Sus scrofa: one gene and its partner. The protein of the gene in region 1 purifies or fractionates together with the protein of each later gene. This does not show direct contact. Links are inferred from orthologs where the notes say so. Each region holds a gene or a part of one and is shown in the gene's direction. Other genes may lie near its edges.

Evidence for each region. Proteins that work in one complex are often made in the same cells at the same time.
Region 2: the proteins of SH3PXD2A (region 1) and FGD1 purify together in Homo sapiens (affinity purification with mass spectrometry; 3 studies listed by BioGRID and IntAct, with this or other methods). This does not show direct contact. The link is inferred for Sus scrofa from reciprocal best matches to the Homo sapiens genes SH3PXD2A and FGD1.

The regions. Positions count from the first base shown.
Region 1 is NC_010456.5:114,774,452-114,778,435, reverse strand, and holds the start of SH3PXD2A (SH3 and PX domain-containing protein 2A), read left to right. Parts: upstream 1-1,184; 5' UTR 1,185-1,675; coding exon 1,676-1,747; intron 1,748-3,984. UniProt on the Homo sapiens protein: Adapter protein involved in invadopodia and podosome formation, extracellular matrix degradation and invasiveness of some cancer cells. Binds matrix metalloproteinases (ADAMs), NADPH oxidases (NOXs) and phosphoinositides.
Region 2 is NC_010461.5:47,228,857-47,233,089, reverse strand, and holds the start of FGD1 (FYVE, RhoGEF and PH domain-containing protein 1), read left to right. Parts: upstream 1-1,433; 5' UTR 1,434-2,227; coding exon 2,228-2,534; intron 2,535-4,233. UniProt on the Homo sapiens protein: Activates CDC42, a member of the Ras-like family of Rho- and Rac proteins, by exchanging bound GDP for free GTP. Plays a role in regulating the actin cytoskeleton and cell shape.

The DNA.
Region 1 (3,984 bases):
TAAAGTGACTCTAATGCCTGTGGTATGAAGTGATTTGCTCCAGGTCACATATTTGGATAGCAGCATCATTTGGTGTTCCAGCATCCTTCCCCAAGAAAGTTGGAGGGATAGTGGGGGTACTCTGTACCAAGCAAATGTGTGAATGAAGTCCTAGATTGCTACATGGGTTCCGACAGTGCAGAGAACAAAGTATTGGTACGATTATGTTGTCAAACTCTTGGCGTCCATTTCAGATGCTTCACATTGGTCCACGGCCACAAAGCTTATTGTGACTGTGAAACAATAGGATTAGTTGTGAAAATACTACTTCTTTAAATATTTGAAACTAGAATGCAAAAAAAAATGTTGAAATAGATGGGGGGGTGATGTAAAATTGCATTAAATAGCAATTGTGTCCCAAGTCCAGGGACAGACAAATGATTTGGAAAGTCTGTTTTTCAGACCAGAGGGAATGGTGGTGAGAAAGCCAGAGTCTGGGGTCAGCTCATCACTGGCCCCCAACCCGGTGGATTTTCCCACCACTGTGTGCTCCCTTCCCTCCTCACAGGCCTGAGGAGGGTGGGTCCCCAGGAAGCTCTGGGTTTAAGGCAGTGGTGTTATGCAGCTTTGTAACCTCACTGGTAAATGATATCACAGATTGGTTACCAGGCCCAGATCGATGGACAACTCGGGCAGCAGATCGATCACATTTCCGGGGAGAATTTACCCTTTGTGACCCGCAGGGGGGCAGGTGGTTCCTCAAAACAGGCTCTGGCTTGAAGGATTTAATGCCGGTTCCTTCCCCATTCCTTGTTCAGCTCGGAGGGCCTGGACAGTAACAGCCGAGTAATAACCTACTTTTTCATTAAAAAGATGTGGGAGATAGGAGTGGGAGGGGGCCGTAAAGGTGAGGACAGAATGGCAAAAATCCGCTCCCAGAAGGAAAGCCAGGGTAGAGGCGCGCTGGGTTCACTTCCCCCCGCCCCTCCTCCCTCCGAAGCCACCCTGAGTTTCGGTGCCGGGGGAACTAGCACAGCGTCGCGCCAGGCCGCTGGCCGCGCTCTCGGCGCAGTGGGGGCGCGCGAGCCTGCCCTGGCCTCTCCGGCCAGGCAGCAGCCCCCTCCCCGTCGCCCCGAGCCCCTCCCCCGGGCCCGGAGCCCCTCCCCGCGCGCTTCCCCTCTCTCCCCTCCCTTCCCTTCCCTGCCTGCCCGGCCCTGCCTCCGCCTCCTGCGCCCACAGCCTCCGCGAGCGCCGAGCCCCCCGGAGCCGCAGCGCGGCCAAGGGGCGCCGCTGGCCCCTCCCCAGCGCGCTGTCAGCAGGCTCTGGGGCCCCCGCCCCGTCCCCTTGCCCACGGGACACACCCCCGCCCCTCCTCTGCTTCGCCAGTTCCCGCCGGACCCACCGGGCGGCGGAGAGAGCGGGCGGGCGAGCAGAAGAGCCGCGGCGGCGGCGGCGCGGGAGGGAAGGGGCTCGCGGCAGGCCCACCGGGAGCCACCCGGGCACACGGAGCCCGCGTGCCCTCCATACCGTCTCCGCCCAGCAGCCGTACCTGTGGGCGCCAGAAGCCCGGGCAGCGGCGCGCCGGACCGGGGTGGCGGGTGGCCCCACAGACCCGGAAAGCGGGGGAAGGAGCCGGAGCCCGACCGGGATGAGAAGGTGACGCCGCCGGGGGGCGCCACTCGCTTTGTAGGGGAAGATGCTCGCCTACTGCGTGCAAGATGCCACCGTGGTGGACGTGGAGAAGCGGAGGAACCCTTCCAAGCATTATGTGAGTACGGCCCCTACCGACCCCTGCGGAGGGGCTGGCCAGGAACCCCCAGAGGGCCCCCGGTAGCCCTGTGCCCCTAACCGCTGTTGAGTCTAGAGCCAAGTGCCCATAGGGCAGCCGTCAGTGATGGAGTTTCTTCGCTGGGCTCTGATTTCCAGGGAAGCCTTTTCTGACCTTCCTCCACTCCCCCCAGGCCCGTTTTCTTTTTTTGGCATTGGAATTGGCAAGTGGCTGCCCTTGTCTGTTACAACGGTGAAGTCATCTGTCCGCCTGAGCTTTGATGGATGGGGGTGGGGGGGAGCGTTCGTCAAACCCTCGCTGGGCAGCTCCGTTGGGAAGGAACATCCTCCCGGTCATCCCAAGGGGTTCGGGTCGCTCACGCTCACAGACCGAGATGCTTTCAGAGGCTTGCCCTGGGAAAGGAAGCCTCGCGCAAGCCCCCCACTTTTGCTCTGGTCTCTGCCTCCCTAGGCCTGGGTCTGGGGTCAGAGGGAAGCCGCCGCGCCCCATGCCCCACCTCCACTCTCAGCCCCGAGCTTTGGTTTCCTTAAAGTCATTGTGTCGGTCGGTGTGAGGAGAAATGTGGCTTTTCCTTTTATCCCTCCTCTGGACGTGACCCTTAACCGGGTTCATTTCCTCTTAAGTGATGCTCCATTTCCAGACAGGAGGCGGCAAATGTTTGCTGTGGTCTCCGAGGAACAGCCGGCCGCCCCTCCCCCTTCCTTCTTCAAACTTAATGAGAAGGGGCTAGAGTTGATTGAGCCGAGCTCCGGGCCTGTGGGACGGGTCTCCCTTTCCTTTCAGCCCGTCCTCTCTTCCCATCTTTCCCACCTTAGGAAGTAAACATTGTCCTTGACGCCTGAGGACTCCAGTCTGAGCAGCTTTGCCGCTGTACTTGAGATAGGAGAGACGGACAGCAGGGCACCCAAAGCCTAAGGACTGCATCTTATTTGCAAATTAGGCACTTAAAGGAACATTTAAAATGAATGCTCAGGAGTTCCGGTCTTGGCGCAGTAGTTAACGAATCCGACTAGGAACCATGAGATTTGCGGGTTCGGTCCCTGCCCTTGCTCAGTGGGTTAACGATCCGGCGTTGCCGTGAGCTGTGGTGTAGGTTGCAGACGCGGCTGGATCCCGCGTTGCTGTGGCTCTGGCGTAGGCCGAGGGCTACAGCTCCGATTCAACCCCTAGCCTGAGAACTTTCGTATGCCGCGGGAGTGGCCCAAAGAAATAGCAAAAAGACAAAAAAATAAAAATAAAGTGAATGCTCAAAGCATTAATTTATAACAATTAAAACAGGCTGTTGGTTGCAGCCCTAGACAGTACCTTGATCCCTGAAATGCCTTTTATTTCCTTTTTGGAAGGGGACTGGGATTTGTGCTAATGTCAGCCTCAGGCTACTCTTTCTGTCTTTATCCCCAGTAGCTCTGACCTTTGGGTTTCTTTATAGCAAAATAAATGGGTATGGGCTCAGTTTGGGGAGAAGGTAAACCAACCGGACAGAGAGGTGGGTGCTGGTGGAAGAGTTGTTCCTTCTGTGTTGCTGGCTCCGCAAGCGTCTAAACCTGCTGTTTCAAGAAAGCTCTTTTTGGAGGACTTAGGTCACTGAGTGGTCACCCTGCACTGGGGACAGATGTCCATTTGCATATCCCAGCACTCCTTATGATATCAGCCTTCCTAACTTCTCAAATGTTGCAGGCTAAGTTTTAGGAGTTCTTTTCTAGTCCTCTGGGTTGGCACTGCTTTCAACAGATGGCACTCTCTGCTCTGAGACCCAGGCAGGTGCTTTTCCCGGCTCTGGCTTTTAGGCAAAACATCAAATCTTGGCTTTGACCAATGATGTCCAAGATTACAGATGTAGAACCTACTGGCAACAAGCCAGGAGTGTTGCTGAAGCGACCGGAGACCCGCTGCAGTCAGTGTTGAGAGATGGTTACTGCTGAGGCTCTGACTTAGAGGCTCTTGTTTTAAGCCTGGCTCAGCCACTGACTTCGGGCGAATTATTTAACCTTAGTGGGGCCTCAGTTTCCTCATTTTAAAGTGAGGATAATAATAGTATCTACTTCATAGGGTTGTCTGGAGAATTAAATGAGATCATCCATGCGAAGCACTTAGGAAGTTCCTGGCACATAACAAGCACTCATTAAATGGTAGCTTATGATGGGCATGATTCTGACTAAGAAAGCACTTTTGAAAAGCAGCTATTAATGGTCTGGCAAGAAGGAAGAAAGATTTGG
Region 2 (4,233 bases), on another chromosome or scaffold:
CAGGTATCAACTTGGGAGCCATCAGCAAAGAAATGATAATTGAAGCCATGAGAATGTTATAATCATAGGAAAGAGCAGAGAGAGAGAAGACAATAGAGCTCAGGGGAAACCCTAAAGAGTGCCAACACTGAAGAGTTGGACATGGAGTTCCCTGGTGGTTCAGTGGGTTAAGCATCCGGTATTGTCACTCCTGTGGCACAGGTTCAATTGCTGGCCTGGGAACTACCATATGCCACTGACATGGCCAAAGGAAAAAAAAAAGAGAGAGAGAGAGAGAGAGTTGGACAAGGAGGACCCTGGAAAGTAAAAAGGAATTACCAAGGAAGTAGGAAAAAAACAGTGTGGTGTCATGGAAGTGGCTTAAGAAGGAGGAAGTGGTCACTGGGGCTAAATGCTACCAAGAGGTCCAGCAGGATAGTCTCTGAAAAGATTCTACTGAATTTAGTGACACATGGCCAAGGCAGACCTTGATAAGAAGAGCAGCATTAGGCAAGTAGTAGAGGCAGATTGGAGTGGGTTGAAAGATCAGTGGGAAGTGGGAAAATTGAGTTAAGTGTAGGCGACTCTTGAGCCATTTATAGAGAGAAGAGAGGGAGGTGGCTGGAGAGGGAGATTTTTTTGGTAATTGTTTTTAGATAGAAGAGACCCGAGTATGTTGAAATGCTGGTGGAAAGGAGCAAGGGAAGGACTCTTGTAGGTTTGGTAACAAGAAGTCAAAAACTTCCTTTTTGGTGACTTCTGTTTACTCTGTGAAGTAAGTAAGTAAGTATGAGGGTTAGGGGGCAGATGGAGAAGTTGGGAGTTTGAGGAGAAGGGGAGGTTAGAAATAGCAGTTGTGGAGCTTGAGAGAGAAGGCTGCCTGGGGATGCATAGTAGGGTTGTGGTTCAGCACCAAGGGCCTGGTAAAGACTAGGTACTATGAGTTTATATTGGCTTGTATCTGTGAGGTTGAATAGTTTTCTTCAGCAGTGTTTAGCTGCCTGGGCGCAGGCATAGAAAAGGCGGACAGTTGGACAGATCCAAGGTTGGGATGTTGCCAGGCGGATGCGACAACTCCTGGGAACTGGGGCTGTTGGCAAGAGAATGGAAAAGTAAAGGACCACGGGGTCTGGTCTGAGCAGAGTGAAGATCCCTATGAGCCAAGCCCTAGAGAAACTCTGGAACATGTGGAAAGGCTTCTGGAAAGAAGATTGAAGGACAAGCAGAGGGAGGCAGATCTGAGATGGGACAAAAAGGCAGATTTGGGGTGTTGAGCCCATAGACTTGCTTGTATGGTACCAGGGAGAGGTGGGAAAGGCCGGAAGAGGGGGAATTTTTAAGGGGAAGGAGGGCCTTGAGGGCGGTCTCTGGGAGAATTGAGGCCGGCCTGAGTGAGGGGGCGTGGCCAGGCGCAAATCCCGGGCGAGGGGGCGGGGCCCGGGTAACTGGGTCCCAGCGCCGCTGTGGCTGCGGCTGCTTCAGCGAAGGCTCCCGCCTCCCCACCCCCTTCCCCCGGCTCCTTCGCGCCCGCTGCCTCGGAGACCCAGGCCGAGGCTGGGGAGGACGGTGGAGCCCGGCCCAGGCTGTTCCCCTTCCCCCGCGGCTGGAGCATCATCCGGAGGGATTGGCTGAGGAGGAAGCCCCGCAGCCGGAGCGCGCGGCGCACACGCGCGCCCCCCGCCTCCGCCGTCCTCTCCTCCCTCCCTCCTCTTCCCTCTCTTCCCCTCCCCTCCCCTCCGCCCCTCAGCCTCCGCTGCGGCGGGAGGAAGAACCCTTTCCGACCAGCCAGGAGAGCCCAGATCGATTCCCATTTGGGGAGAAAGAAGAGACCCCGCACTCGGAACAGACCGTCGCTCGTCCCGGGGCCGCGGAAGTGGCTCGCCGCTTACGAGAGAGCCCGCGCCTAGCGCAGCCCCCCGACCCTCACCCAGCCGCTGCCGCATAGACAGCACTCCCCAGCGGGCCCCCGGCCCAGCCGAGCCCACTCCCCGCGCAGGGCCCGGGCTGGCGATGCCTGGCACCGCAGCGGCGGTGGCCGCGGCTGCTGCTGGTACTGCCACCGCTGCCACGGCTGCTGGCCCGGGCCCGGGCCGGGGGCTCGAGTCTCCGCAGTGGGGTTGAGCCCGCAGCCCCGCCCCCCGAGCCTGAGGCCGCTGCTCCGCCGGGCGCCGGGCCTCCTCCGCCCGCGCCTCCGCCCCAGGAGCTGGAGCCAAGCGGGGAGCCCGGGCCCCGCGCCCAGGCCCGGACCATGCATGGCCACCGAGCCCCGGGGGGCGCCGGGCCTTCCGAGGCCGAACACCCAGCCGCGAACTCCCACGGCGCCGCTACACCGGCCTATGCAGACTCGGACCCTGGAGCCTCGGATCCCGGACTGCCAGTGCCCAGGAGCTCAGGCTCGGCTCTCGGCAGCTCTTTGGATCCCCAGTTTGCCGGACCCTCGGACGCCAGCCTGGGCGTTGCTCCAGGCCCCCGGGTCTTGCCCTGCGGCCCCAGTCCACAACACCACCGGGCCCTGCGCTTCTCCTACCACCTGGAGGGCTCGCAGCCCCGGCCTGGTGAGTGATCGAGAGCATGGAAGCCCGGGCCATGGCCCTGGGAGCGGGTTCTTGTCCTAGGGCCTCTAAGCCCCACCTCGGGGCCGGCCCGCTCACCCGAGCCCTTCCAGTCTTCTCAACCCCCAGCCTTGTCCCTCATTTCTCGGCCTTCTTCCAATTCTTTCAACCCCAGTCTCCGCCTCCTCTCTGTCCCCCGTGCCCCTTCAACCCTTCCGAACCCCTTCTCTTCTCTCTTCTGAGGCTAATGGGAGAGGGAGCACTCCAAGAAAAAGCGGCTGTATTGCAAGGCAGTAAGGGGGGTTGGTTGTAGGAACTGAGGTTTGTTTGGAGGAATGGAAGAAAAGAAGAGTTTCTCATTTGCCAAGCGTCTATATTGTGCCAGGCACTGGGCTGGTGCTTCACATGGGTTCTCATTTCATCTTCAGAAGGCTGCTGTGAAGTATTATCATTAGCCGCGTTTTGTAGGGGAGGAAACTGAGGCTCAGAGAAGTTAAGCAACTTGCCCAAGGTCACACAGCCAGTATGGAGACAGGATTCCAAATCAGATATGTTTGAGTCCAAAGTCTATGGTCTTTCCGCTTCCCCAAACTGAGGTTGGAGACCATGAAAGTAATGCCAAGCCTTCTGCTTATGTGATTTTCTCCTGCACTGTTCAGCAGCTCTAGAGTATGAGTGGAAAAAAAAAAAAAAAGAGGGATGGTGGATTGATCCAAGGTTGGGGTTTTGCCAGGTGTGTGTGGCAGGAGGACAGGGGAAGGAGGGAGTAGAAGGTGCTGATGAGAGAGAAAGGTAGAAGAGGTGGGCCTCGGGGGTGGGGGGGTGGGGTAGAGCTGGAGGGAAGAGCTGGAGGGGCTGCTAGAAAGGGAGACAGCAGAAAGGTGGGGAGGGGGGAGAAGCCGAAGCCGGTTTTAGCAGATCTGGAGAGCTAAGGGCTACAAGGTTGTTTGTGAGAAGTCAGGATGCTTGAACTTGGATTTGCAGAGTTGGAGCAGCTCCAGGTCAGGCTGGGGCCAAAGACCACTGCCTGGAGAGGCCTTTGCATTGCAGAGATCTGAGTGTCTGAGGGGTCCATCAGGGCCTCCCCCATCTGAGGACATCCCATGTGGACCTGAGCCCAGGAACCATGGAGGAAGAGCAGTATCTTCCACTGGGCAACACTCAAAGAGCTGTGGAGCATCTGGGGCCCTCCAGGGCTCACATCCCAGGCTCCACAGGTTTTGGGGATTGTGGCTCAGCACCAGGTAGCAGTGGTAAAGCATAAAGTATGGGCAACATGTGCCCCTTGCTGTTCTTATGACCTTGGGCTAGTCATGGAAAACCTCTGGGAGTTTTCAGGGGCCCCCTAGGTGGGGGATGGAGATAACCAACTGACAACAGGCTTTTAAATCCCCTGCCCTGCATGTTGCTCCTGCTGACTTACCAAACTCCCTTTGACAGGCACTGTGTGGAGCAGGCTACTCACCTGCTTTACTGCAGCACCTTCTTTCAGATCCCAAAACATGCCACAAGCACACCCACCTCAGGGTTTTTGCATCTGCTTTTCCTCTGCCTGGCAGCTCTTCCTCCTGCTCTCCACCTGGCTTATTCCTTATCTTTCAAGTCTCAGCTCAGATGTCACCTTCTCTGAGAGACCTTCCCTGATCACTTTAAGTAGGGCCCCTTTGTGGATCTCCATCAGAGTTGCCAGTGGCTTCCATCC